Macaca fascicularis: one gene and its partners. The protein of the gene in region 4 interacts with the protein of the main gene of each other region in a biochemical or structural test. Links are inferred from orthologs where the notes say so. Each region holds a gene or a part of one and is shown on either strand. Other genes may lie near its edges. The genes, in order: NCOA4, CDC34, HDAC4, PPARG, NR0B1, TRIM24 and NEDD4.

Region 1 (3,500 bases), on a different chromosome or scaffold from region 4:
GCATCCTGGGACTTACCATAAAGAAATGAAACAGGTTTTCTTCGTGGCTGACAAATGAGTTCTCAAGATGACTTTTGAAGGATAACACTCCTTTTAATTTGAAAAAATGTGATAACTGTGTGTGGAAAAATCAGTTTTGTAACTTTTAAATCTCATCCTACATTCTGTCTATAGCTGATAAGGGGAAAGTCCAGTGTGTGAACTCTTGCTATATTCTACTCTTACTGTGTAATATTAATACTTGTGATTGAATTGAGAGTACTTGCTTTAGGAATCTAGTAGTACAGTCAGCACTGTATGTGTTTGAGTTTGTCTCCCGTATGTTCCGGAATTCTGGAGTTTTGACATTGTGAAGCAACAATTTTATTGATTAAATTTTACACTGTGCTAGGCATTGTGGCATTCCACACAAATGGTGAGGATCTAAGAGTGGGAAATTTGGCACAGGTGAAGAAGGCTGGGTAACACATTTGAAAGACTGCTAAACATGTCTTGCATGACTGACCTAAGTGCAAAGTGAAGCAGCCCGTCACACTCCAGCTCTCCAAATCGGAGTCAGCATTTCACCCGTGTGATGCAGGTATTTTTCATAGTCCCTGCAGTGAGTTCCAAGTGCACACTAACGCTTCTGCCTAACACAGGCAGCTTATGGCATGCAAAAGGAGGATGCAAGGTAACCACTGTTGGTGTGTCCAGGGTTGGAAAAATTTCCACAGGGATTTCTGTGAAGTCCAATTAAGGCAACCCTTTCTTTTTAAGAGATGATTATGGAAAAAGAGACTGATGAAACAAAATCAGCAAGGGGAAGTTTAAAAATTTCCTGAATTGTTGTTTCTTATAGAAACTCTAGTTCCTGAATCGGAGTCTTTTGCTGAGATAGTGGACAGAAAGTTTGTTTTGCTGCTCTTCCCACTTCTCTCAGAATACATTATTTCTGAGGGAGGAACTCACCACTTTTGTCTCTATCCAGCTTTCAGCTAGGCATCTGGCCCTAAACTTAGTCTTAAAGATGCAGTCAAGGCCTGGCAAAGTTCCTTTGTCTCAAATGGACAGTCAGCCACTTGGAGGACTCTGCCCTGGGTAGGCCACTTTTCACCCCAAAGCTGGCTTCTCCGAGAAAGTCATTGCTTTCAGGACAGTTAGGAAGTTATTTATTGCCTAACATGCCTCCTATTAACCTTTTTTACCCCCTTGTGTCTGTTCCAAACAAATTTAATTCTTCTAGTTGACAGGTCTCCACATACTTGAGAATGGTAATCATGTCCTCCTGGAGACGTCTCTTATCTAGGCTAAACAGCCTTCCTTCCTGGAGAAGTTTTTCATGGTTTTGAGGCCTCTTTCCCTTTTCTAAGTGTCCTCTTCTAAAGCGTGTTACTCAGAAATAAGTTTTGAATTTAGTCTAATAAACATGGAATAGGTTAATCCTGTGACAAACACTATACTTTTGGTAAATGTAGTCAAATAGTATGTGAGTTATTTTTTCCCACAGACCCAGCACACTGTGAATTCATAGAGAATTTACTTTCAGTTAAAGATGTCCACCCTTTAAAAACGGTGGAAAATATTCTTTTCCTTGCCCTCCCTGATTAAAGTGAAAAACTTACATTTTGTTTTGTAAGATTGAACAGCTGTGTAGAGATTGTTTTGGGAAATGCTTCTGTCACAGCCCCATGTTACCTCCAGCTTTAATGTTTGTCTTCTATGTTTTCATACAAGTAATTAGAAAAAACAGGGATGTGCCTCTAAAAACTTTACACACTGGCCTTAGTCTGTCATCCTTTGAGTATTTTGTAAAAAATAATCTTATTATTCAGTTTAATTGTGCTTCTCTTTAGCTGATATTCACTTTGTCCACAGTGATATCATACAGTTTTGCCACAAGTCTTCTGTCATTCCTTGGTGTCTACAGCATTACCTTTACTTGCTGGTTTAGTAAAACAATCCAAAAGGAAATAACTGGTATCACAGGGCTTAGTGAACCTATTCTGAGCTCTAGTAATCACTGCTGTCATTTTCTCAGTGTTTAAAAATCATGTCATTGTTCTTCCAGTAGCTTTTGTCAAGTTTTACTTCATGGCTTTACTGACACTCTTGTGTTGCAGTCTCATTTTATCATTAATGCTGTTCTTCCCGTTTCTGTTTCCTATCGCTCCTAAACCCAAGCTTTTTAGAGAACTCTGTATTTACCAATTTCTGTTTCTCCTTTATATGAGAATCATATGAAATCATTTTGTCACATATAATCTGTTATATATAATGCACATTCTTTTATATATTATATATTACATATATTCTCTATATAAAAAACATGTATCTGTATATCTGTTGTATTCTTTTTTGTTGTTTTGAGACAGAGTTTCACCCTCTTACCCAGGCTAGAGTGCAGTGGTGTGATCACAGCTCACTGTAGCTGCGACCTCCTGGGCTCAGGTGATCTTCCCACCTCAGCCTGCCAAGTAGCTGGGACTACAGGTGCACACCACCACATGTGGCTAATTTTTGTATTTTGTAGAGACGAGGTCTTGCTATTTTGCCGCGGCTGGTCCAGAACTCGTGGGATCAAGTGATCCACCCACCTTGGCCTCCCAAAGTACTAGAATTACAGGTGTGAGCCACCGTGCCCGGCCCTGTGTTATATTTTTGAGAGCTTCCTAGCTATGAAGTAATTCTTAAGTTCTTCCTAAATAAAAAAAAAAGTTCTACCGTAAAGGGGGAAATTAAAAATTCCGTCTTCTAAACAGTATTCTAAACTTGATTGTTTGCAGCTTATTTTCAAAGTAATAAGCTGTACCTTTTAGTCTTCATCTCTAAATCTACAAAGAGGAACACATACCTCATATGACTATATGTGTGTTATAAATAGAAAATTATATTTTAATGTTCTTTTAACTTTTCAGGACACTGTATGCTCTGTTGATTCAGGACAATTAGTGTATTTTTCCAGAAATAGCTATTCACATGTAAAGTGTTACTAAAGTAGATTTTAGAGTTTTATGGCAGGAACAGTGGTAGAGGGAAGGGAGGAGACAATATTTATTAAGAGTATCTTATGTGCTAGCTCCAGTGTTGGAAAGTAATCTAAGTAGTTAGTAATGGGAGTTGGCTGGAATGATCATTTGAGGGATGATTGAAAGGTGGTTTTTGGTTGTAATTATGGTGCTATTTATATATATTTTTTTCTTTTAAAGGAGCAGTGAGGAGAATGAATACCTTCCAAGACCAGAGTGGCAGCTCCAGTAATAGAGAACCCCTGTTGAGGTGTAGTGATGCACGGAGGGACTTGGAGCTTGCTATTGGTGGAGTTCTCCGGGCTGAACAGCAAATTAAAGATAACTTGCGAGAGGTGTGACATGTGCTTTTCTCTTCTCTTGTCTGGACTCTTGGCACAGGGCTGGTTAGAGCATGGCCAAGGACTTGGTTTCTCTGTGCCAACAAAAAATTTCACCCCATGCCTTGCGTGGTCTACTTGGTCCCAGTCAGTTGCCTGATACACTGGTGCC
Region 2 (4,074 bases), on a different chromosome or scaffold from region 4:
TGCTGGCAAGGACGGCCACAGAGGAAGGACTGCAGCCACGTGCCCGGTGACAGAGCTGTCTGGCCTGCGGCCTGGGGCGTGACGCCACCCACGGCCCTCCTGGGCCCCAACAGGTAAACAAGGAAGCCTCACTGTTTCCTTCCTGGGCCCCAGTGCCAGGCACGGGGGTGTCTGGGTCAGGGGTCCTGGTGGCACTCAGCACTCCAAGAGGCTGAGGGCAGCACCCCCAAAGAGCAGTTGTTGGCGAGGTCCTTCCTGGACAGGGAGGGCTCTCAGGGGTCTTGGGGGTGTCCTCTGTTTGACAGGGAACTCACTGGGGCCCCATGAGGTAAGGGACTTGGCCACAGCCACAGAGCAAGGCTGGAACTTCAGGCTCAGAACTGCCCAGCAGTTCCCCAAGACTCCGGGCCCCCCAAGCCTGGTGCTGGGTTTCCAGGCGGCCTCACCTGCACCGAACCCCACCAAGTCCCAACAAACCTCTTATTTTCAGCACCTCCAAACATGTCTTTTACCCGGAGCAAACCCAGGCTCCGAGAAGCAAAGCCCCCGCCGATGGCACACGGCAAGTCCGCCGTGGAGGGCTCTCTCTGGTGGCCCCTGCCCCAGGGCTCGCTCTGGCTCCTGAAGGAACAGCGGCTGCAGGCAGTGGCTGGGCAGCAGCGGTGGCCCTGGGCACTCAGCAGCTCCTGTATTTCCACGCTCCCCCAACTCCCTCCCAGGCACACGGGGAAGGGAGAGCCCCGGTGGGTGGCAGCACCCCCCCGCGTCTCAACGCTGGCCTCTGAGGACTGACCCTGCGGCAGATGTCTAGAGGCCCCCTCCCCAGGAAATCCGGAAAACCGGATTATCCCCTAATGCTGGTCCAGGAGGCTCTGCCCACAATCCCTGGCAACCGGTCTGGTGGGCAGGAGCCAGGAACCCGCATCCCTTCCTTCCAGAACAGCAGCCGCCTCACAGGCCTGGCCTCGAGGTGGGGCCGCCCCTGCTCACAGCCAGCTGCTCCCCCAAGCAGAAAAAAGGGGCTGGGGGAGGGGGCTGCTAAAACCATTTGACAACCTCAAGGCTCAAACTCTGTTCCCTGTGTGGGGACCCACGATTCCAGATGCACAACCCACGGACGTCCCACCCTCTGCCGTAACCCAGAACCTCAGCTCAGGAATCGCCCCCAGCAGACCAGGCTGCTGCCCTCACAGCCGCTGAGCGCGCGCGGTTCAGACATTAATTAGCCCGGAGAGCACACGCTCTGAGAGGCATCGGTCCCTCGGCCCCATGCCCGCAGCTGGCCGGGGCAGAGCAGGCCCGGCTGTGCCCAGGCTCTTGGCAGGCAGCGACAGCGGGAGGGGGGATTCCTGGACAGGGTGCGCGATCCCCACCTCTCACACGGGGCCCCTCACTTTGTCCCTCTGGCCCCAAGGACGAGGTCCTGGAACTCTACAAGAGCCAAAGGTCACGTCTGGATCGTGAGATCAAGAAAACTGGCCAGGCTTTGGCCTGAGTCCTTTCCACACTGGACAGAAACAGTCTCCCTGCTCCCAACGGCAACAAAAACATCAAGAACCTGCTTGGAATGAAACCGCCAGAGGGCAGAAGGAATGGCCCAGAACTCGGGGTTGGGGTCACAGGAAGCCACCTGTTCAGTGGAATCTGAGAAAGGCCAAGGCCAGCTGGGATGAAGCAGCCCGGAGCTTCTGAGGTCGGGGTCCGGGACGCGGGCCGGAGCCGGGGGCCCGGGGAGAGCTGCAGGGAGCAGGTGGGAGGGACGCCCCTGCCTCAGCCTTCCCGAGGGCGCAGGTTACATAAACCCGGGGATGGAGCCCAGGGCGCCTGGCCGGCTGCTATCGGCAAGGGTGGCCGCTTTCCAGGCAGGGCCCGGCTGCCAAGGCTCATCCGGGCCTTTGTTGGAGCCTGAGCGAGTGGCCGCGCCAGCCACCCCCAGGCTGGCCTCGCTCCCCCGCTCACAGGCCCAGCTCCCCAACAATAGCAGCTGCGGGGTCTGGGGGGGGCCTCTTTGTCTCCTCCGGGGAGGGCGGGGAGGGCAGCAGAAAGGCCGGGGCGGCCTGGGCTCCGCTCCCTCTTTCTCGCAAGGGCGGAGGGGGAGGCAGCCGGGGTCGAGCCCCCCCCAGGAAGGAGGTGGGCAAGAGCCCCACGCGCAGATGATACCGGGAGGGCCCCGGGCCACCCTTCTGCGGGCCAGGAGACTACCCGGGGACCGGACGGTGCCTTCAAGGAAACTGAGAATTCTCGGGGACCGCAGCAGAGGCTGAAGGTCCCCGGGACCGTCCGAGGAGGGGGCCGGGCACAGCTGGGTGGGGAGACCCGGCCATAGAAGGGAAGCGAGCCCAAGCCAGGAGGCTGCCGGGCCCGCCCGGGGACCGCGGGGCAGGGAGCTGGTTCCTGGCGCCCGAGGTCGCTCGTGGGCTCAGGGACCCGGGCGGGGGTCGCCGCGCTCACCTTGAAGTAGCCGCCCTCGTAGTAGGTGTTGGGGGGTCCGAAGATGGCCACCTCCCAGTTGTACAGGTCGCCCTCGTCCACCAGGGTCACGCGGAAGCCCTCGACCGGCTCTTCCTGCAGCCCCTTGAGCTCCAGCAGCAGCGCCTTCTGCGAGCTGGGCACTAGCGGCCGGGCCATGGCGGCGGCGGAGGGGCCCGGGGTCGGCGCCGCGCGGGGCCGCGCGACCACCGCGAGCTCGCGAGACGGGCCGGGCCGCGCGCCGTCCGGGGGGGAGCCGCCGGGGCCGCCGCCTGCCTCCTCCTCTGCGCCGCCGCCGCCGCCCGGGGACCCCGAGCGCTCCACCAGCTCTGGCGCCGCCGCCCCACCAGCGCTCGCCTTGGCCCGGCCCGCGCGCCCCGCCCCCCGCTGCGCCTGCGCGCTCCGCCCGGCCCCGACTGCGCCTGCGCGCCGCGGCCAGGCCCGACCTGCGCCTGCGCGCCCGCCCGCGGGGCACGCCGGGAAGTGGAGTCCCGGTCCCGGTTCCGCCTACCGCGCCGAGCGCCGCCGCCGGGAGGGAGGGTTCGAGCGCGCAACCCTGGGCGCTTCCGATCCCCGAGGCCGCCGCCGTCGCCCCCAGCTCGACCAGTACCGCGGACGCTGTGCGCACGGAGGCGGGCAGGGCTGCTCTGGCCGTGGCTGGCCCGGTCCCCCAGCTTTGGGGTCGTTTTGTGACGTCCCGGCGTGGGGCGGGGCTGCGGGCGGTGAACGGGGCGCGGGGCGAGGTCCTGACCGGGGCCGGAGGGGCAGGGCCGGTTCCCCCGGCGCGACCCCGCGTCCGCGCCTCCGTTTCCCCGTCTATACAGGGGACGGGCGCTGAGTCTGTCCTGGGGCGCGCTGGCCTCGCGGAGGGGAGGAGCGGGAGCGAGGCGGGGTGTGCAGACCCGGCTTCCAGGCGCGGCGCTGCCTCGGTTCCCCCGACAGCGGGAGCTCTGAGAAGTGGGCGAGGTCGGGGAGGGCTCTGAGGGCGGGAGGGGGCGAGGGCTTTCCTGGTCCCCCGTTGAAGTCACCATGTGGTGTGAGGCGGGTGCAGGTGCTGGAGCCATCAGAGGTTGGCAAGGTGCTCCTGCCCCCCAGAGAAACTGGGAAAGAGGCTCCCCCCAGCCAGCATCGGCTCAGCACCTGACCCGGGAGAGGCGCCAGCCCCACGGAGCCCCCACCCCAAGCTGAGCCTGAGCCTGGCTGTGCCCTCCTCCCAGCCTGACCTCTGTCCCACCCAAGTCTTTTTTTTGAGACAGTCTCGCCCTGTCGCCCAGGCTGGAGCGCAGTGGCACAATCTCACTGCAGCCTCCACCTCCAGGGTTCAAGGGAGCCTCCTGCCTCAGCCTCCCGAGTAGCTGAGATTCCAGGTGTGCGCCACCACACCCGGCTAATTGTGTCTTTTTAGTAGAGATGGGGTTTCACCATGTTGGCCAGGCTGGTCTCGAACTCCTGACCTTAAGTGTGTTAGGTTTTGGAAGGAAGGGGAGGGTGCAGTTTGGAGTAACAAAGTGATCCGTCTGCCTCGGCCTCCCAAAGTGCTGGGATTACAGGCATGAGCCACCGTGCCCGGCCCCCCAGAGTCTTGACCCCACCTGACTTCTGACC
Region 3 (3,500 bases), on a different chromosome or scaffold from region 4:
CAAGTCTGAGAATCAAGGGTGCTTTCTCACCCAAGTTTAGTGTGCAGATTCAGTGCTGTTGGTCAAAACTAAGACCCACAAACCCAACAAGGGGGCGAGGCTTCATGCCCACCCACTGTACGTGTGTGGTGTGGCAGAGTGAGTGCTTTGGTCCCCGTGTGTGGTGTGGCAGAGTGGGTGCTCTGGTCCCCACATCTGCATGGCCTTCGCGTATCTCCCAGTGGAACCAGCGAGGGCCAGGCTGCCGCCCCAGCAAGAGCCTCTCTCCACACCTGCCAGGCCCCACTCCCCTGCACCTGATCCAGGCTGCTCCTGGCTCAGTACCTCCTCAGAGAAGCCCTCGTTGATACCCCATACTGTCTAGGCCTCCCTGGGACCCCGTGACTCAGCCTGTGTTATCCTGTTGATGAAGCCCATGGCAGGATCCCATGTGGACAACCTGCTTTCCCTAGAAAGAGCCACATCCTGGGAGACAGAGCCCGTGCTGGCCTCATTCTCGGCTCTGGGCCCACTCAGGCTTCAGGGCACTCACAGGGAAGGCCTCTCCACGCAGCTGGCCTCCCAGCATCCTTGTGGCCCGTGTATGGCCTGTGCATGGATGGGAGACTTGCAAGAGAGGGCAGCCCCTAGCCCTGCAGCCCAGCCGTGGGAGGTGCCTGCAGCCGCCAACATGGCCGTTTCTTCCCCGCAGCAAGCCCTCCTGCTGGAGCAGCAGCGGATCCACCAGCTGAGGAACTACCAGGCGTCCATGGAGGCTGCCGGCATCCCCGTGTCCTTCGGCAGTCACAGGCCTCTGTCCCGGGCGCAGTCCTCACCGGCATCTGCCACCTTTCCCGTGTCTGTGCAGGAGCCCCCCACCAAGCCGAGGTTCACGACAGGTAACAGATGGCCTTTGTGCAGCCTGAGGATGTGACGCGGGCCACAGTGGGCACAGACCGGGGCGGGGGGTACTCCGGGCCCAGCTCTGCAGAGGCTGAGGGGCTGGGCAGGCACGAGGGCGGGAACCACACAGGCCTCTCATGGAGGCCCTCTCCCTGCCCCACGCCCTACACCCTCAGTTCTGTTATTCTGGGGGCCTGTCATGGGCTCACTTGCCCACCTTTCCTGTCCCAGAGACCCATGGTCTCCTCCAAGAACAGTCCACAGCCCATGCCCGTGGGGCCATGAGAGCCTACAGCTTCTGGTCCGGCTTAGGAATCACGAGCCCACACTTCTCCACTTACTCTCTCATACTTCACCCACGTCCACAGCGTTGACTCTGAGGCTCCAGTGGCAGGACTGTGAATGGCTGGTGGGGGGCCATGATTACACGAGAGCAGAGCCCGGGACCCCTGGGACATGCTGCGGGAGCCACACATCTGTCTGTGCCATCCCTCGTACCATCCTCACCCCAGGGAGGTGACCTGCCGGCAGGGGTCCTTGGTTTTCCCTGCACGGTACCCCACCAGAAGTCAGGAAGCAAGCGAGGTGTCCACCACGGCTGAGGAGGCAGGCGGGGCTGGGCCCTGGACTCGTCTGCCTGGAGCTGCCTGGAGTCAGGGAGGAGACTGCTGTCCCGGGCCGCCCCGCCGCCCAGCCACCCCTGCAGGGGGGAGGCGGGAAGGAGGGCTGGCTTCTGGCAGGGCTTGCCTCTGAGACAAGCACGGAGGCAGGAGAGCTCTTCATATTGTTTTGATCTAATATTTCTTGTTAATGACGCACTAAGAAAAAAGTTCTGTAAATACAGCATGGCTTCATTCTTCAGATAATTCTCATCACATGGCTTAGTGTTGTGCAGTCTGCAAAGTTCTCACTCTCAGGTCTTAGAAGGATGCTATTCATATTCAGAGAAAAATTTCCATAGTAGTAATCCAGCAAGTAAAATGCTGCTTCTCAGAAAGAAAAGCAGAAAGAAAACTGTGGAAGGTCACAGAGGCAGCCAGATGGCCCACGCCACACTCCACACGCCACACTCCACACGCCACACTCCACACGCCACACGCCACACGCCACACGCCACACGCCACACGCCACACGCCACACTCCACACGCCACACGCCACACGCCACACTCCACACGCCACACTCCACACGCCACACGCCACACGCCACACTCCACAAGTCCTCGGCAGGTGACTGCAGTAAGCGTGTTCTTGAAAGAATGCAGCTCAGACAAGGGGGACCCCAGTCACCGCCACCAAGGCGGGAATTCGCCCACTAAGCTGGCCCACCGTGACTGGTCCCAGGAGAATTCCAGGGAGTCCCACTTCGTCGTTGTCCTTTCTTAGTTTGTCTTCATTACTTTTTAAACAAATTTATAAAACAGTATGTGTTCATTGTAAAGAAACAAACATGATAGAAACCCACAGGAAATACCATTTGCCCGTAATCCCGCTCCCCAGTGGTGGCAGGTTGTTAGTATTTGGTTTAAATCTTCCAGATCTATTTCTGTGCATAGCCAGATGGACAGATAGACACAAACATAATTTGTTTCACAGAGACGGGACTCTGTTGTGTCTGATGCTTTCTGTTAGTACCTCACACTCTCAGCCATCTTCCTGTGTCCGTGCACAGCGACGCAGCACGTTCCTTTAGCCACGTAGTCTCCTGGCTGGCTCTGCCACCCTCAGCTGTGTGGGTTTTACCGCTTCTCCATCTCTCTGCGCTCCAGCTTTTCTGTCTCTAAAGGCAGTAAAGCGGGTGTCTGCCTCATAGGTTCCAGCCGTGTGCTTAGTAATATTAGCACATGTGACCTTATCATCATGATTCCACTGAAAGGGGCCGTCCCCATTCCTCGTATCCATGAGCAACTGGTTGTTTCTGCACACACACCTGTGTATTTGATGGCACCGTGTCCGTCATTGCCTATGTGTCTGTGTTGCCATTACAAACTCCCGAGCACACCCATGCCCACACACAGTGTACTGATTGTGAGTCCTAGATTCGTTGACTCCTGTAAGCCTGCACCTACCCTGTTGCTTTTTTTTTTTTTTAATCAGAAGTCCTGTCCCCCAGCACTGTTTTGCAAGTATCCCCAAAATTCCTCAAGTGCAGGAGACTGACTCCTGTTAGTCTGACTCACAAGAGGCTGAGCCAGGAAGTATGGCAACTAATATGCACCAAGAGTATCCTGTAGCTGGACCCTGCAAACACTGGACCACCTTGAATCTCAGCTCCCCTTGGCTGGGGATGCTGCCTCTGTTCCCAGTAATGGGAACATATGTGGGGAGGACCGCATCCTGGGCCAGCACACTGAAGCGCTAGAGCGGGTCCGTCTGGGCAGCTTGCCCAGGCTCTTCACCAAGTGCCCCGCCCTTATCCACCTGGGTGAACCCACATTAGCATAGGTGCCCCTGGGTAGTGACCTGCCTGCTGAAGGCATCCATTCACCCAGCCTGGCCTTCCCTTTGTTAAGTCCTGGGAGACCAGGTGTGTGAGGCACAGACACATCCCAGCAGGGCCTCGGGGCAGCCCTCCTGCCAGATGTCACCAGGCCTTGTGAAAAGGGGCCGTGGTAGAGCT
Region 4 (3,500 bases):
TACTTGCAGGGCCAAAAATACAACAAATTGCTAAATAACTAAATTTATTTCTATGTTGTGTGTTCGGTTCAGATTGCATTCTTAATCACAACCAACTACCTCACAAAGGTATTTTGAAGGGAAGCCATCAGAGGAATCCACACAAGAGAGTGGGTGGAGGTCAGTAGGTATGCCTTAATTCCTGATATCACGAAAGCAATTCAAAGTAGTATCTTACTGTTGGAAGGGCAGGAGCATGATTTGACCAGAAACACTTAGTAGTTCCTTCTCTACGTCAAGTAAGCATTGTCTTAAGCAAAGTTATACATGCCATTACTTACAGGAACCAAAGATTAGATTGGCCTCTAATCTTCCTTTCTGGAAAGGAAAGAAAGAGAGAAAGAAAAGAAAAAGAAGAGGGCATTTGATTGGAAAAACTATATTGTTGAGGGAAGAAAGAGAAGATCCTGGGTTACTCATAACTTTCATACTGCAAACTTATGATACTCTTTCTTGGTACAGTGTTTTGCACGTGTAGAGGTGATTCATGGCATTATGCCATTGGCACTTAAAGCGACAAAGAACGCAGACTAATAAGGAAATCCAAAATTCTTTTGGCCATCCCACCATCATCCCACCCTCTTTCATAGAGGATCAAAAGACAAATCTTACCTCCACTGAGAATAATGACAGCAATAAATATTGCCAAGTCGCTGTCATCTAATTCCAGTGCATTGAACTTCACAGCAAACTCAAACTTGGGCTCCATAAAGTCACCAAAAGGCTTTCGCAGGCTTTTTAGAAATTCCCTTGTCATGAAGCCTTGGCCCTCGGATATGAGAACCCCATCTTTATTCATCAAGGAGGCCAGCATTGTATAAATGATCTCATGGACTCCATATTTGAGGAGAGTTACTTGGTCGTTCAAGTCAAGATTTACGAAACCAGGAATGCTTTTGGCATACTCTGTGATCTCCTGCACAGCCTCCACGGAGCGAAACTGGCAGCCCTGAAAGATGCGGATGGCCACCTCTTTGCTCTGCTCCTGCAGCGGGGTGATGTGTTTGAACTTGATTTTATCTTCTCCCATCATTAAGGAATTCATGTCATAGATAACGAATGGCTGCAAATAAAACAGGGAAAACATGGGTGACTTGGAGATTTCTAACTTAGTGAATGCCATCCCAGTTCAGAAAACTGTTTCTTTATGTAAACTTGCTTTGCTAACTAAAATCTTTAAAGCTGAAGATGCTTAATAATGAGAAAATACTCTCAAGTTCTTTTATTCATCTTAATTATCTTCTGGGACCAAACAAATTTCACCAATTTTGGTCTTCTTTCCCTTTAATTTACACTGTAACACTTTACCTATGACTGGCTAAGAATCCCAATTTCTTTTGTTTGGGGAGTCTTCACTGTTGATTTTTATATTTATTTATTTATTTTGTTTGTTTTTGAGACAGAGTCTTGCTCTGCTGCCCAGCCTGAATTACAGTGGCACAATCAGGGTTCACCGCAACCTCCACCTCCCAGGTTTAAACAATTCTCATGCCTCAGCCTCCTGGGTAGCTGGGATTACAGGCACACACTTTCACGCTCGGCTGGTTTTTGTATTTTTAGTAGAGACAGGTTTTTACCATGTTGGCCAGGCTGGTCTTGAACTCCTGGCCTCAAGTGATCTGCCCGCCTTGGCCTCCCAAAGTGCTGGGATTCCAGGCGTGAGTCACCATGCCCAGCCAATTGTTGATTTTTAAAATGATACAAAATCTACTGTTTATCTTGGCTTTCAATGAAATACACTTTTAACCTTCTTTCAATAAAAAATCATTTCAGCAACTCAGGGTTGAAAATACCCACTTGAACATAAAGCAACTTTAGAGGCTTAAAACAATTTTTTTTTCTTAAACTTTTTTTTTCCTTTTCCTTTGTTCTCCTTCACGAGTAATAACTTTTCAGTTTTAGATGAAATCCTCTCAGATCGCAAATGAAACTATGTGCACATAAAATATGCTTAACTATTAAAAAATCACTCTGAAAGCAGATTAGAGCTATTGAACCAAGAAAATGTCTATTTCTTTTTTTAATGCTCTGGAAGCCATCTATTTCACAAAGAGCAGATATAGAAGGCCTATAGGTGAATGCTGCAAAAAACAGTTTTGAATTTACATTTTAAAATATCTGTCCTTACAGGTCAATCAATAAAATACATGCCCCAGTTATTTAAGTTTGCAATAGGCTGCTTTCAAAAGTTAAGTCATTTGGTCATGACATTATCTCTCTCTCACTTCCCTTGTATAGAACTAACCAAAGTCTGTAGTCATTGAGAAATTCTCAAGGCTGCTCTAAGGGGCAACATTTTACTTACACCGGATACACTGAAAGACACATAAGGAGTTAAACCTTGAATCCTGTTCAAATACTTGTATACCTGAAAGCACTGGAAGAAGAGCTGAGGGTATCTGCATTCTAGCTTTGGTTCTGTGGTGAACTATGCGACTTAAGAAAAGTCATTTACCTTTCCTAGGCCTTAAATTTCTCAATCAGGGGTTTCCACCTCTTCTCCAGAGGAAATTCTAGTTGTATTTCTCAGAAGCAGGATGTGTGTGGGGAGTGGGCATGTGTGTGGAGAGCTGTGAGTGTGCATGCACAACAAACATGAAGTCTCTGATAGACTAAAAGTAAACACTGTTTTGAGCAGAGATGTTGAGAATTCTCTCCTGAATGGGCACAGAGAAGGTGCATGAGTGGCCGTGGCAGCTGGCTTCAAGATGCACCGGTTGGAGATTCTATTCATATCTATGGAACTCTATGATTTTCATCAAAAGATTAAGTTTGTTCTATACTGGAGGAAGTAACACCAACATTAAGGACTCTCAGATGTTAAATATATTTCCAAACTTGTACGTCACGTCAACACCCTTTACTGGAGTTATTCTGGAAGTTTTTACTTTTGTTACAAAAAAATTCACTTCAACTGTACTACTTACCAAACTCCAAAAGGGGACAGATGTGAGGACCCCAGAACAGGTTTACCTGGTGGCTCTAATTTTTCAAGGGACCAAACTGTCCGTACCGTATTTCTTAAACATTTCGCTTGGGTGGTTTTTTTCCTTTTTCTTTTCTTCTTTTCAGGATTAATATTATTAATGGGAGAAATAAAAGGGGGGCAGAGCAAGTAACATCAATGAAAATTTACTGTATTTTTCCAGAATGTCAGGTTCTAATTATGAGAAAAATTTGAATGGATAATGATGCTGTCACAGAACCTAGAGAAAACGTGTTTCTTTGTTCTACAGGCATTTTATAGTGTATTATAATATATATTAATGAAATACTGACTTTCTTTTTCTAAAAAAAAATTATTTCATTTTTTGAGATGAGGTCTTGCTATGTTGCCCGGGCTGGTCTTGAACTCCTGGGCTCAAGCAATCGTCCTGCTTTGGCCTCCCTAAATGCGTGCTAGGGTTACAGGTGTGAGCCACCACAACTAGCCTTTATTGGCTTTCTTTAATGTCATGAGA
Region 5 (3,990 bases), on a different chromosome or scaffold from region 4:
GTCACAGATGATTCTCAAGATAATTTGGAAAACAGTCTTCTTATTCCTTCAGCTAGTATTATTAATCATCCACTACGTTCCTTGTCCTGTTGGGATATAAAGGTGAAAGGGGCTCACCTTCCAGAAATTTACATTCCATTAGTTTCAGTATCAATAGTTTCCCTCTTTCCCTTGACCCTGTTTTATATACTTTTAACACACACACACACACACAGACACACACACGCACACTTCTTCCTTGTTCTTGATTGACTTTTCCTAATCCTTTCTCAGTATGAGTTTAACCAGCTAAGCTGAGTGTGTTTGAAACTCAAATGTACCTATATTGGGGAGAAAGGTAACGCCTATTGAGACTGTGGCCTCTCTTTGCTGTTTGTCTTTTGTATATCCCATATAATAAATTTAAATATATTAAATATATATATTAAATATATTTATATATATTATGCACTCTCAAAAATGCTAGGCAGGGGGCCAGGACATAATCAGAGATTCCAGCACCAGGGAAAAGATACAAAAGGAGCATTATGGAAACTATCCCAACTCAAGTTGCCTGGAAAATTTTTTTCCACTTCAATCATTTCAAAAGGACGCTGGTTGAAGATGATTCTAGTAGAGAGAAACACCCAAGACAAGGTGCCTGGCTGTCCAGGGAGATGTTCCCCCAGTGATTTGGTTGCACCCTGTGGGACAGTGTGTCCTGCACCCAACAGACAACCTGAAAGTTTGGTGCAGCCGACATCCCACAGGGCCCAGAAGATAGGACCCTCAGGTGCCACAACACACCAGCCATTTACTTTGGAGTAAGGTCACTTGGGACCTTGGGACACATCCACCTACACAGTAAAATGCGGTGGGGGAAGGTTACAGAGCAAAGGGGGTTGATTAGGAGGTCTCTAAAGTCTCTTTGAATTCTAAAATACAGTGTTCCTGCTCTCAGTCCCTAAAGTGACTTTTTTTTTTTTTTTTTTCTTATCCCTTTGCCAACCTGATATTCTTCACAGAGATTTGGAGGAAGGGATAGTCCAGATGCTTAGGACCATACAAATAACCATTCAGAGGCAGGCCTATGAAACACTACATCCAGTGTACTGTCTGACAGTGTCCCTAGGGAATAGTCTCTCTATGGGACCCTTTAACAAATGTTTCCTTTTTTGCTAGCCCTAATAGATCTCCTCCCCCCAAAAAAAGGTTCTAGTAAATTTCAGAATGGAGTTTCAGAAATCGATGTCGCAGAATCTTCAGTGAGCAAAAACTTTTTTTAGAAAAAGATATGCTCTGGACTTCAAAGAAAGCTAAAGAAAGAATAACCATTTCCCATGAAGGCACAAACTTTTCTGTAGTAAGAAACGTGTAAAGAGCTAAGTACAAACCTAAACAAACAACTCCCCTCCTCTTGGCTGAGTTTCTGACAGCAGCCCACTCAGGAGAAGTGGTTCCTGGAGCCCCCCACCCCAACTCTGCTGAGTTAGTCATGATTTCTTCACCTTTGTCCCGACACTCTCCTGATCACTGAAAACTCCTTACTGCCCGCGCCCCTAGATAGGCACTGCCTGATGCTTTTGTGAGCTGGGAAAAGCCGGCGCCCAAGGCCAGTACCCTTACCCGGGTTAAAGAGCACGGTCCCCTTGAGGTAGGCGTACTCCTTGGTACTGATGTTCAGACTCCAGCACTTGGAAAGAAAGCACTTGATGGCTTGGACCTGGGAGGCGGAGGGCACCTTCCTGGCCTCCGCCGGCGGTGCCAAATGGGGCTGCAGCGTGGACACGGGCAGTGGCTCGTCGCCCCCGGTCTCCCGCCGCCTGGTGGTGAGGATCTTCTGCAGCATGCTGGGCTCCGAGACTTCTACAGTCTCGAACTGCAAGTGGTCCTGGGCCAGCTCAAGCATGAGCAGGGACGCCCAGCAGTTGCGCACCAGCACCAGCTGCTGGTCCAGGGGCAGCACCTGGAAGCAGGGCAAGTACTTGACAAAGCGCAGCGTCTTCAACAGGCCAGCTGAGGCTGCCTCGCAGACCACCTGTGGACTCTTGAGCGCCACTGGCCGCAGCGCACCAGAGGAGGTGTCCCACCAGGGGGCCCTCGGCCGCTCCTCCGGAGCCGCCTGCACTTGATTTGTGCTCGTGGGCATGCAGTAGAGGGTGCTGCCCTGCTGCGGGTGGTCTTCACCGCAAAAGCAGCAGCGGTACAGAAGCCCCATGACCCGCCCGCCTGGTAGCGCCTCTCTACCCCCTGGCCTCTGCGCGAAGTAGGAGCGGTCCCACCACGCGCCCACTGGCCGTGCCTCGGGCGCTGCCGGAGCCACGTGCGTTTGCTTTGCGCTAGTGAGCAAGCTGTAGAGGATGCTGCCCTGCCGCGGGTGGTCTTCACCACAAAAGCAGCAGCGGTACAGGAGTGCCACGGGCCGCCCACCCGGAAGCCCCGCTCTGCCCACCCCGGGATCAGAGCCGCACGAACAGCCCCAGCACGGACCCAGCGTCGCCTCGGGCGCCTTCGGTGCCGCGTACGTTTGCTTTGCGCTCGTGAGCATGCTGTAGAGGATGCTGCCCTGCCGTGGGTGGTCTTTACCGCAAAAGCAGCAGCGGTACAGGAGCGACACGTTCCGCCCGCCCAGCAGCCCCTCTCTGCCCACCCCGGGCTCATCGCCGCACGAACAGCCCCAGCACTGATCCACCAGCCGCGTCTCTGGAGCCTCAGGAGCCGCGCGCGTTTGCTTCGCGCTCATAAGCATGTTGTAGAGGATGCTGCCCTGCCACTGGTGGTTCTCGCCCGCCATGGCCCGCGGCTCCTGCAGCCCGGTTCTGCCCAGTGGCTGCCTCCTGGGACCTATTTATACCTAGCGCGCACGCAGGCGCGTCGGCCGCCTCGGTCTGGGCAAGGGCGCGGAGGCGGGCAGGGGGGGCGCGGTGCTGCGCTCCGGTGTATTCGCCCATGACCTCGGTGGTTCGAAGGGGCGGGTGTTCTTTAAAAGCTGAAAATGGAAGAGGAACAGCAGCGTGGGAGCTCCTGGACACTTCCCTCCTTCCTCTCATTACCCCTTTCCCTGTCTCTCAGGAAGACCGGAGGAGAGCGAGCGCCTGGATGCTGTTGCAACTCTTTCCATTGAACCTCGCATCTAATTTGTTCCCTTTATTGGGAGGGTAGGGGAAAAGAGGAAACATCTACTTCTATGCTCTTTGTAAACTTTCATTAAATTTTCACAGTTTGTGAGACTCATATTTGTATATGGATAGGGAGGTCTCATTTTCTGAGACCTTGAAAAATACAGAACATAGACAAACATCATATGGGAACTCGGTGGAAATGCCCAATGTCAGGCTCCAACCAGACTTTCTAACTCTGAATCTGCATTTTAACGGTGTCCCCAGGGATTCACATGCACCTTGACGTTTGAAAAGCACTGGTCTAAATATGCTAGCATAAGCGCTCAGTTTAATTCCATCAGTATTTATAAGCGCCCACTATGTCCTGGATGCTGTGTTAAGAGAGCTGGGGGCAGCGAGCAGGTTGTAAAAGTGCCTAAAACTTAGGAATATAATAATCACGAGGGGATAATATTGTTACAGTGAGAATCGTTTTCATTTTAGTATATGGTTTTTTTTTTTTTTTCTTTTAACTTTTAGGTTCAGGAGTATATGTCAGGGTTGTTATATAAGTCAATTGCTTGTCGCGGGGGTTTGGTGTACAGATTATTTCGTCACCCAGGTAATATAGTATCCAATAGGTATTTTTTCTCATTCTCTCCCTCTTCCCACCCTCCACCTTCAAGTAGGTTCCAGTGTCTGTTGTTCCCCTCCTAGTGTCCATGTGATCTCTTTATTTAGCTCCCACTTACAAGTGAGAACATGTGATAATTTGGTTTTCTGTTTCCGCGTTATTTCGCTAAGGATAATGGCCGCCAGCTCTCATTCTTTTTCATGGCTGCAGCGAGAAATTTTGATCCTTGTAAAAGTATTCCATTGGTAAGTGTGTAATTAGCATTTCTTTCCCCAC
Region 6 (4,144 bases), on a different chromosome or scaffold from region 4:
GCAAAACTCCATCGCTACTAAAAAAAAACACACATACAAATTAGCCGGGTGTGGCGCCCGGCTGAGGCACAAGAATTGCTTGAACCCGGGAGGCGGAGGTTGCAGTGAGCTGAGATCGTGCTACTGCATTCCAGCCTGAAGGACAAAGCGAGGTAGGAAGGTAGGAAGGTAGGCAGGGAGGAAGGAAAAACCAACCTTAAAATGCGTCTAAGAAATAAGAACAGGCGGGATACGGTGGCTCACACTTGTAATCCCAGCACTTTGGGAAGCCAAGGTGGGCGGATCACCTCAAGTCCGGAGTTCGAGACCAGCCTGACCAACATGGAGTAACTCCATCTCTACCAAAAAAAAAAAAAAATACGAAATTAGCCGGGCGTGGTGGCGCATGCCTGTAATCCCAGCTACTCGGGAGGCTGAGGCAGGGCAATCGCTTGAACCCGGGAGGCAGAGGTTGCGGTGAGCCAAGATCGCACCATTGCACTTGAGCCTGGGCAACAAGAGCGACACTCCGTCTCAAAATAAACAAAGAAACAAGAACTAAGGTTTAAGCTTTCACCTGTTCGAACTTTCCAGTAGTGGGCCTCTTCAGAGCAAACTAGTGTGAAGGATCTGAGAGTTTGTTCAACTTGCAAGCTAACAACCTTACCAGTTTCACGGATGGTGATAGAAGACACTCAAGGGTCAGAGACACAGGGCAGTTTGTTTTTTACTCACAGGAACAGCATAAGCCAAAGCATCAAGATTTTTGCACTAGTTCTCGGAACTCCAGGTTCCCACTGGTCAACGTGAAGAGAGCCAGCTGACATCTACACAGGCAGTTCCTTCTCTACAGGAGAGGAACCCTAAGCTTAGGGAACCCTAATCTTTTAAGATGGGCAGTAAGCATGCCTACCCTTTCGCTCCAGAGGGAGACATTCTTCTTATTATACTGGATAATACGTATCCCTGCCTCTTGCTCTGGTGGAAGACACTATCGAAGGCTGCTCTTTAGATAATATCCGTGAAAAACAGAAACAAAGGGCAGTCAGTATCTTCCTGGCAAGGGTGCTGGCAAGAGTGAAGAAACGGACACGCATGGAAAACTGTCTCCTACAAGTGGATACTGGGCCTAACATGCAGTTAAATAAATGAGTCTCGGACCACAATCTAAAGTATCCATTTCACACTTCCTTAACGTAGCGTAAAATTAGCGTTTTATTTCAAACTAAATCAACTATTCCCTCTAAAAAGTATTAAAAATGCTCTTCCAGTTACACTGTATTTTTTTAAAAAGAGGTGCTCAAATATTTGCAATAAAATTTAAAAACTGCCAAGTGTTCTACCCAAAACCGTATCCACTTAAACTTACTTTAAATGTTTCAAACCTGTTAAAGTGAGCAATGGGAACACCTGTCAAAAGTCTAATTCTACAGTAATAAACACCACAAAGAGAAGAGTAACTTCTAGCTTTATCTATAAAATACCAGGAAACCCTGCACCCCAAATCACTTTGCATTATTTCTCTTCACCGTCTCAAAATAAAACCCTTGAAAGAGACACACAACAAAACAACGTCTCTTGGTTCCTTTGTCCCTAGCAGAGGAGAGGGAAAAGAACTGGGAACTCATTAAGGTAAAGAGCCCCAAACATGCAAAATAAGAAATAAATGACATCCGATCTGCAATCAGTCATGAAAGAAAGTCACCATCACTTCATCTTCATCCCTCCCTTCTCCCCTCCAGCTCAAATAACGTGGGTATAGACGAGATGATCAGGATCATATGGACCTGGACAAAGCTTTGTGGAGGCAGCGGGCGGGTAGCAGTTAACTGGATGCAGGCGGCAAAGAACCCGAGATTCCGGCTGCAGGAGACTCCGCAGAGGTCTGCAAAAGTGCGGCTGGCAGGGGCCGCCCGGCTGTAGAGAACGCGGAGCGGCGGCGGCGCGGTCAAGTCCACAGCGCCCGGGGAAGTTGCTGGCCGAGCGCAGCACGCCGCAGAGCGCGGGCCCTCCATGTCACCGTCGCCAGCACAGACCCTCCTGCTCGCCCCTCCCCCGCCGCGCACCCCGGGCGGCGGCGACATGACAGCGGGTCGCGCTGCACAAGGGCGCCCGCCCCCTCCCGGCCCTCTCCCCGGGCTCCCCCGCGGCCGCAGCCGGTTCTCACCTTGGGTGGCGAACGGCGACGAGCCGCTGACCGGCGAGCCGGGGGCAGGGACGGGCGGCGGGGTCTCGGCTGAGCCCAGCATGGGCGCGGGCAGCATGAGGTAGCGCTGGGGCGCGGGTAGGCAGCGCTGGCAGAAAGAGTGCAGGCAGGGCAGCAGCTTGGGCGCCCGGCTCTGGATGTTCTGGTGGCACACGGCGCAAGTGTCCAACAGGTTGAGCCGGGCCGCCTCGCCGCCGCGCTCCGAGTCCGGGCCCTGCCGACTCTCGGCCTCGTTCTCCCCGCTCGGCGCCGCCGAGGGCCCCCCGGAGGCCGCCGCCGAGGCCGCTGCCGCCGCCGCCGCCGCCTTCTCCACAGCCACCTCCATTGTCCTGCCCCCGCCGCCGCCGGGGAAGCGAGAGCGCGGTCTTCGCCCGCCGCCCCCGACGACCTCCTCCTCCTCCTGCGGCTGCTCCTCAGAGGCCGCTCGGTGGACTCGCGGCAGCGCCAGGGAGGGAGGGAAAGCAAGCCGGGCGGGGGAAGCCTCCTCAGGCCCAGGGGATCCGCCTCCCGAGTGGCGCGGCCGGAAGAAGGGGATCTGTCAGCGGAGACCGTTCCTCACACCGGGGAGGCTGCACCCCGTCCGCTACGCCAACCGCCGCTGCGCTCGTCGAATACGCCCAGCCCGCCCTTACCTCCCCGCCTTTCTCTTCATCGCTCCCCAAGCCCACCTCAGGCCCCGCCCCCGCCCTCCCTCTCCCAGCAACTGAGGCTTCGGCGAGGAGCCCGCCGCCCAATAGCAGCCGCGCCTGGCGAGGGGGCGGGACCTGTCGGAGCCCGCGAGGCTCTGTCGGCCGCGGCGGGAGGTTGGGAAGTGGGTGGTGCTTGTCCAGCCCCGCCCCCTCTGGACTCCTGGAGCCGCGGTCTCTGATTGGGCCTTTGTGTGTGTTTTCTCCTCTGAAAAGATTGAGGGTTCATTTGTTATCGACCATCCGCCTGATTCGGTCCGGGGTGTTAGCTCCTCCTAGGGGGCGGGACCTCACTTGTCTACTCTATGCCGTTAATTAAGTAACTGCTTGGAAAACTCGTTTCATTACTGGAGACCTGGTCTTGTAGGAGGGGTAAATATGGTAGGAGGGTCACAGGAGGAAGGAGTGGAGGTACTGAAGAGCAAACAAGGAAATAATTTTCTAAAAATACTGTGTGAAAGAGGTACTCTGGAGGCAGCATGGATATTGCAACCTAATTTTACTCATCTTTAGAATGAATGACTGAGTATGAAGAATAAGGGAGGGAAGTTCTTGTGCAAGTTGGAAATTTTTAAAGGGTTCCCCAATGAAAAAGGTGAAGTTAATTTTCAAAGTCAGTGATGTGCTTTTTAAAGTGACTAAAGGTTCGTTTTCCCAGGAATTAATACAGATTGGCTAATGTTTTTATTGCATAAATATAGCATCATTAAGTAAAAATAAGCCTCAATACTGATCCCCAAATAATTCATAACTTCAAGATTCTTTTTTATTTCTTCCCTCCCTCTTATTTTATTCCCTCCCTCCCTCACCTCTCTATGCTGATATCAGAAGTTAAGCACATTTTTCACTCAAAAAATGGCGCAGCTTTTAAGGAACTTGAAGAATAGAAACGGAGTGGAGGAAACAAGCTTTTGTAAACACGTAACTTTAAGAAGTGTATATAAGTTTGTTTTTTTTTTTTTCAATACGAATGAAGCGGTACTGGACTTTAGAGAAAGATGGAGTGGGTCATGAAAGACTTTGCTAAAATCACAATTTTCCTGGAGGACTACATAGGATGACAATGGGGGAGGGCTAGGCAACGTAGCCGTCCTTCGAGACCTTGCCCTTAAACACAATCTCCGCAGGCCTCAAGTGAGAAATTCTTTTACTTAATCACATGAAATTCAACGGCTCTTCCCGCCACCCCTCCCACCCCCATTGGTTGCTGTTTAAGCTTGGGGGTTTTTTGTTTTGTTTTGTTTTTTGCATGGAAGTAGCTCTTAAACCTTAG
Region 7 (3,500 bases), on a different chromosome or scaffold from region 4:
CAAATTCAGCTTAGCGATTTCCTAGGCAGCAGTCCCGACTTCTAATCCCCAGGACAATCCTAATCTTACTCGTTGTTCTGAGTAGGGTTCCCACTTCAGCTACATCCTTTCTAAAAGATTTATTCTTGGATTCTTGGTATCCTTAAAAGCAAGTAAATATCATTCCAATAAACAGAATATGAATCAATGTGAGAAAAGTTGCTGCAATCTACATCAGAAACGGCACTTTTAAACAAAACACACCTCCAGTTTTGTACATCAACTGAAAAATAATTTGATAGAATACACAGAATCTTACTTTACTGAAAACTGCATTAACTATTCTAAAAATCAAGAGATATGGGCACTCTTCTCCCCAGTCCCGGTGCTCCCCCCAGGAAATGAAAAATAGTAGCCTAACGAGATTCTCTACCCCTATCTTGAAAGGAAAAAAAAAAAAAAAAAGATTTCATGATCAAATAAGTTTGGGAAACAATGCTTTTGTTTTCTTCTAACAGTAAAGGTTCTACACAAGTCCTGAAGAAATCCATTTAACTTTGTTTAGTCCAGCATTTCCCTAAAGGTATTCAACTTGAATACACTTAGTGACATTCTGTGAAACTTCAAATGCTATCCTGAACTATCACATGAGAAGTAATGCTTTTTCATTTTTTTGAGACAGGGTCTCAGTCTGTCACCCAGGCTGAACTACAGTGGTGCAATCTCGGCTCACTGCAACCTCCGCCTCCCGGGTTCAAGCAATTCTCCTGCCTCAGCCTCCCGAGTAGCTGGGACTACAGGTGCACACCACCAAGCTCAGCTAATATTTGTATTTTTGGGTAGAGATGGGGTTTCACTGTGTTGGCCAGGCTCGTCTTGAACTCCTGACCTCAAGTGATCTGCCTGCCTCGGCCTCCCAAAGTGCTAGGATTACAGGTGTGAGCCACCCCTCCCGGCCAAGGTAATGCTTTTTCTGTAACTGACGCACACGGGGCATAGAATCTGAAGTTAAAGAAGGGAAAGTGACTCGTAAGTCATTTGATGTTTCCAGTTTTCCCCTTTATTATCTGATTCGAAGGTGCAAATATATTTTAGCCTACTCTAGTGTCTCTAATGATATCACTTTCAAAATCTTAATTCTTTTTAAAATTAAGCTAAATGTTAGTAAATGATGGAAGCGTGAGGATTCATCAGCCATGAAAAAGACAATAGGCATCACTCCATTTTTTTTAATGATCTATGGAAAATCCTTACCATATAGTTCAGCAAATCCATTCATAGGCACCCGAGATGTGCCAGTGACAAACTGAAGTAATCTTATTCTTTTTTCTGAATCCATCATTAAAACAGCCTGAATAAGATAAAAACATCATTTAGGGAACAGCACTGGGAAAAAGGTAAACAAATTATCCTGAAACATAAGCTATCAGAATTTAGCTAGAATAGTAACAATCCCTTACTAGATGTGGATGTTTCTTTTAGTTAAATTTTTATTTATGGGTGGGTTATAAAGTTCTTGAAAACTTTATTTGTAAGGCTACATGGCAACTTTTTAGAATGGGATTATAACCTAATGAAGTAACAAAATTTCTCTTGAGATATGACTCATGACTTTTAAAACTTATATGCTGGGCGCAGTGGCTCATGCCTATAATCCCAGCACTTTGGGAGGCTGAGGTGGGCGGATCACTTGAGGTCAGGAGTTTGAGACCAGCCTGGCCAATATGGTGAAACCCGTCTCTACTAAAAATACAAAAAAATTAACCAGGCATGGTGGTGCATGCTTGTAATCCCAACTACTCGGGAAGCTGAGGCAAGAGAATTGCTTGAACATGGGAGGCGGAGGTGGCAGTGAGCTGAGATAGCACCATTGCACTCCAGCCTGGGAGACAGAGCGAGACTCCATCTCAAAAAACACATTATATTAATATTATTGAATGGCATACACATTTCTCTATGAGACATTTTAAAAGAGCCACTCAGGAGTCCCTAGGAATACCCTGTAGGTTATTACAAGTTCTTTCAGAGTCCCTACTTTAGTAGAAAACTAAGTGCCTGTCTCAGCCTGTCATTCCACTTACTACCTTCTGAACATTTTACTTACCTAGTAATGGTTATAGACCCAGAAGGTGCATGTATACGGTACAAAATCAAAGATCATTTTTGCTGGTCTCTATATTTTTCTGTGTCAGTTAAATGTAATCCACCAGTATAGTTAATCAAGAGTTGACTTAAATATGATTCAATCTATCAAAAAGTAATTTACGAAAAGAGAAGTTTCAAATTACCTTCCAAAACCACTGTATAACCTGATGATTTGCACTGTAGCCATTTTTATACTTTGTATGTTCCCTCCAGTCATTCACATCGACATCTCCCAGTCCACACATAAGAAGCTACGTAAGAAATGTCAAATTATAAACAAGGAAAATAATGGGTTCAAAATTTTCTGTTTCAACATAAAATGTTATGTCTTACCTCTAGTTCATTTTCATCAAAAATTTTGATGAGATCCTGTGGTATTAGTTCAAAGAATCCCTAGAAAAAAGATGTATTTAAAAACCTGATGGGCAGGGCCAATGGCCTTTCCTATGCTTCAGCTTCCGGGTGCCACTGGAGGAATCCCACAGACACACAAGTTTCTACCGCTACACAATCACGGGCTCTTCACTGAGATCTCAATATTGGCCAGAAAATGTACATGTGCACAGTCTGTTCTCTCATTTATTCCTCAAAGTGGCTATTTTTAAAACTTCCTGTGGCCAGGTGCGGTGGCTCATGCCTGTAATCCCAGCACTTTGGGAGGCTGAGGTGGGCGGACTGCTTGACTCAAGGAATTTGAGACTAGCCTGGGAAACATGGTGAAACACCGTCTCCACAAAAAAATACAAAAATTAGCCAGGCATGGTGGTGTAAACCTGTAGTCCCAGCTACTGGGGAGGCTGAGGTATTCCAGTCTTGGCGACAAAGTGAGATCCTGTCTCAAAACAACAAGAACAACAACAAAAAACAAATTTGCCATCCTTCTCAAGCCTCCACATCACCCCTTCTTTACCGTAGGTAAGTGTAAGTTCTATTTGAGGGAAAACAGAGGCAATTATGCATGATGGAACTCCCTCAAGCTTCTGCATCCCTGTGTCCCAACCATCACCAACACCCATCATGGCCTCCTTCCCGCCGCAGTGGAAGACAGAAGTGCCACCTCTTCTTTCAGGCTAGGCCTGCACCTGTGCTTCACCTGCTCCGCAGGGAGGTCATCTCACTAGATCTCTTTCTCTTTATTGGCTCACTCTGTATGCATTTAAATTTGCTCAAGTCATATCTACCTTTAAAGCAAACAAACAAACAAAAAAACAAAAACAAAACTAATGACCCTCTTTTTCCCTTCACAGGCAAGTTCTTGACAGTGTTATGCACTTAGCATATCCATTCACTCACCTCCCATCTAACACTCAACCCACTGCAATCGGACTTCTATACTACAGCTTCCTTGAAATTGTTCTGGAAAAAGTCAAAGACGG

Evidence for each region.
Region 1: the proteins of PPARG (region 4) and NCOA4 form a complex in vitro, tested with the Homo sapiens proteins (2 studies listed by BioGRID, with this or other methods). The link is inferred for Macaca fascicularis from reciprocal best matches to the Homo sapiens genes PPARG and NCOA4.
Region 2: the proteins of PPARG (region 4) and CDC34 form a complex in vitro, tested with the Homo sapiens proteins (2 studies listed by BioGRID). The link is inferred for Macaca fascicularis from reciprocal best matches to the Homo sapiens genes PPARG and CDC34.
Region 3: the proteins of PPARG (region 4) and HDAC4 form a complex in vitro, tested with the Homo sapiens proteins (2 studies listed by BioGRID). The link is inferred for Macaca fascicularis from reciprocal best matches to the Homo sapiens genes PPARG and HDAC4.
Region 5: the proteins of PPARG (region 4) and NR0B1 form a complex in vitro, tested with the Homo sapiens proteins (2 studies listed by BioGRID, with this or other methods). The link is inferred for Macaca fascicularis from reciprocal best matches to the Homo sapiens genes PPARG and NR0B1.
Region 6: the proteins of PPARG (region 4) and TRIM24 interact in a test that uses a peptide from one of them, tested with the Homo sapiens proteins (2 studies listed by BioGRID). The link is inferred for Macaca fascicularis from reciprocal best matches to the Homo sapiens genes PPARG and TRIM24.
Region 7: of the proteins of PPARG (region 4) and NEDD4, one has a biochemical effect on the other in vitro, tested with the Homo sapiens proteins (2 studies listed by BioGRID). The link is inferred for Macaca fascicularis from reciprocal best matches to the Homo sapiens genes PPARG and NEDD4.

Annotation. Positions count from the first base shown.
Region 1 is NC_088383.1:59,187,097-59,190,596, reverse strand, and holds part of NCOA4 (nuclear receptor coactivator 4), read left to right. Parts: intron 1-391; exon of another isoform or gene 392-580; intron 581-3,188; 5' UTR 3,189-3,202; coding exon 3,203-3,343; intron 3,344-3,500. UniProt on the Homo sapiens protein: Cargo receptor for the autophagic turnover of the iron-binding ferritin complex, playing a central role in iron homeostasis. Acts as an adapter for delivery of ferritin to lysosomes and autophagic degradation of ferritin, a process named ferritinophagy.
Region 2 is NC_088393.1:1,084,598-1,088,671, reverse strand, and holds the start of CDC34 (ubiquitin-conjugating enzyme E2 R1), read right to left. Parts: upstream 2,801-4,074; 5' UTR 2,629-2,800; coding exon 2,452-2,628; intron 1-2,451. UniProt on the Homo sapiens protein: E2 ubiquitin-conjugating enzyme that accepts ubiquitin from an E1 ubiquitin-activating protein, and catalyzes its covalent attachment to other proteins by an E3 ubiquitin-protein ligase complex. In vitro catalyzes 'Lys-48'-linked polyubiquitination.
Region 3 is NC_088386.1:135,018,947-135,022,446, reverse strand, and holds part of HDAC4 (histone deacetylase 4), read left to right. Parts: intron 1-691; coding exon 692-878; intron 879-3,500. UniProt on the Homo sapiens protein: Responsible for the deacetylation of lysine residues on the N-terminal part of the core histones (H2A, H2B, H3 and H4).
Region 4 is NC_088376.1:150,693,837-150,697,336, reverse strand, and holds part of PPARG (peroxisome proliferator-activated receptor gamma), read right to left. Parts: intron 1,103-3,500; coding exon 652-1,102; intron 1-651. UniProt on the Homo sapiens protein: Nuclear receptor that binds peroxisome proliferators such as hypolipidemic drugs and fatty acids.
Region 5 is NC_088395.1:30,316,413-30,320,402, forward strand, and holds the start of NR0B1 (nuclear receptor subfamily 0 group B member 1), read right to left. Parts: upstream 2,801-3,990; 5' UTR 2,774-2,800; coding exon 1,606-2,773; intron 1-1,605. UniProt on the Homo sapiens protein: Nuclear receptor that lacks a DNA-binding domain and acts as a corepressor that inhibits the transcriptional activity of other nuclear receptors through heterodimeric interactions.
Region 6 is NC_088377.1:180,136,853-180,140,996, reverse strand, and holds the start of TRIM24 (transcription intermediary factor 1-alpha), read right to left. Parts: upstream 2,801-4,144; 5' UTR 2,511-2,800; coding exon 2,147-2,510; intron 2,012-2,146; exon of another isoform or gene 1,767-2,011; intron 1-1,766. UniProt on the Homo sapiens protein: Transcriptional coactivator that interacts with numerous nuclear receptors and coactivators and modulates the transcription of target genes.
Region 7 is NC_088381.1:32,286,887-32,290,386, forward strand, and holds part of NEDD4 (E3 ubiquitin-protein ligase NEDD4), read right to left. Parts: intron 2,518-3,500; coding exon 2,458-2,517; intron 2,376-2,457; coding exon 2,268-2,375; intron 1,331-2,267; coding exon 1,234-1,330; intron 1-1,233. UniProt on the Homo sapiens protein: E3 ubiquitin-protein ligase which accepts ubiquitin from an E2 ubiquitin-conjugating enzyme in the form of a thioester and then directly transfers the ubiquitin to targeted substrates. Specifically ubiquitinates 'Lys-63' in target proteins.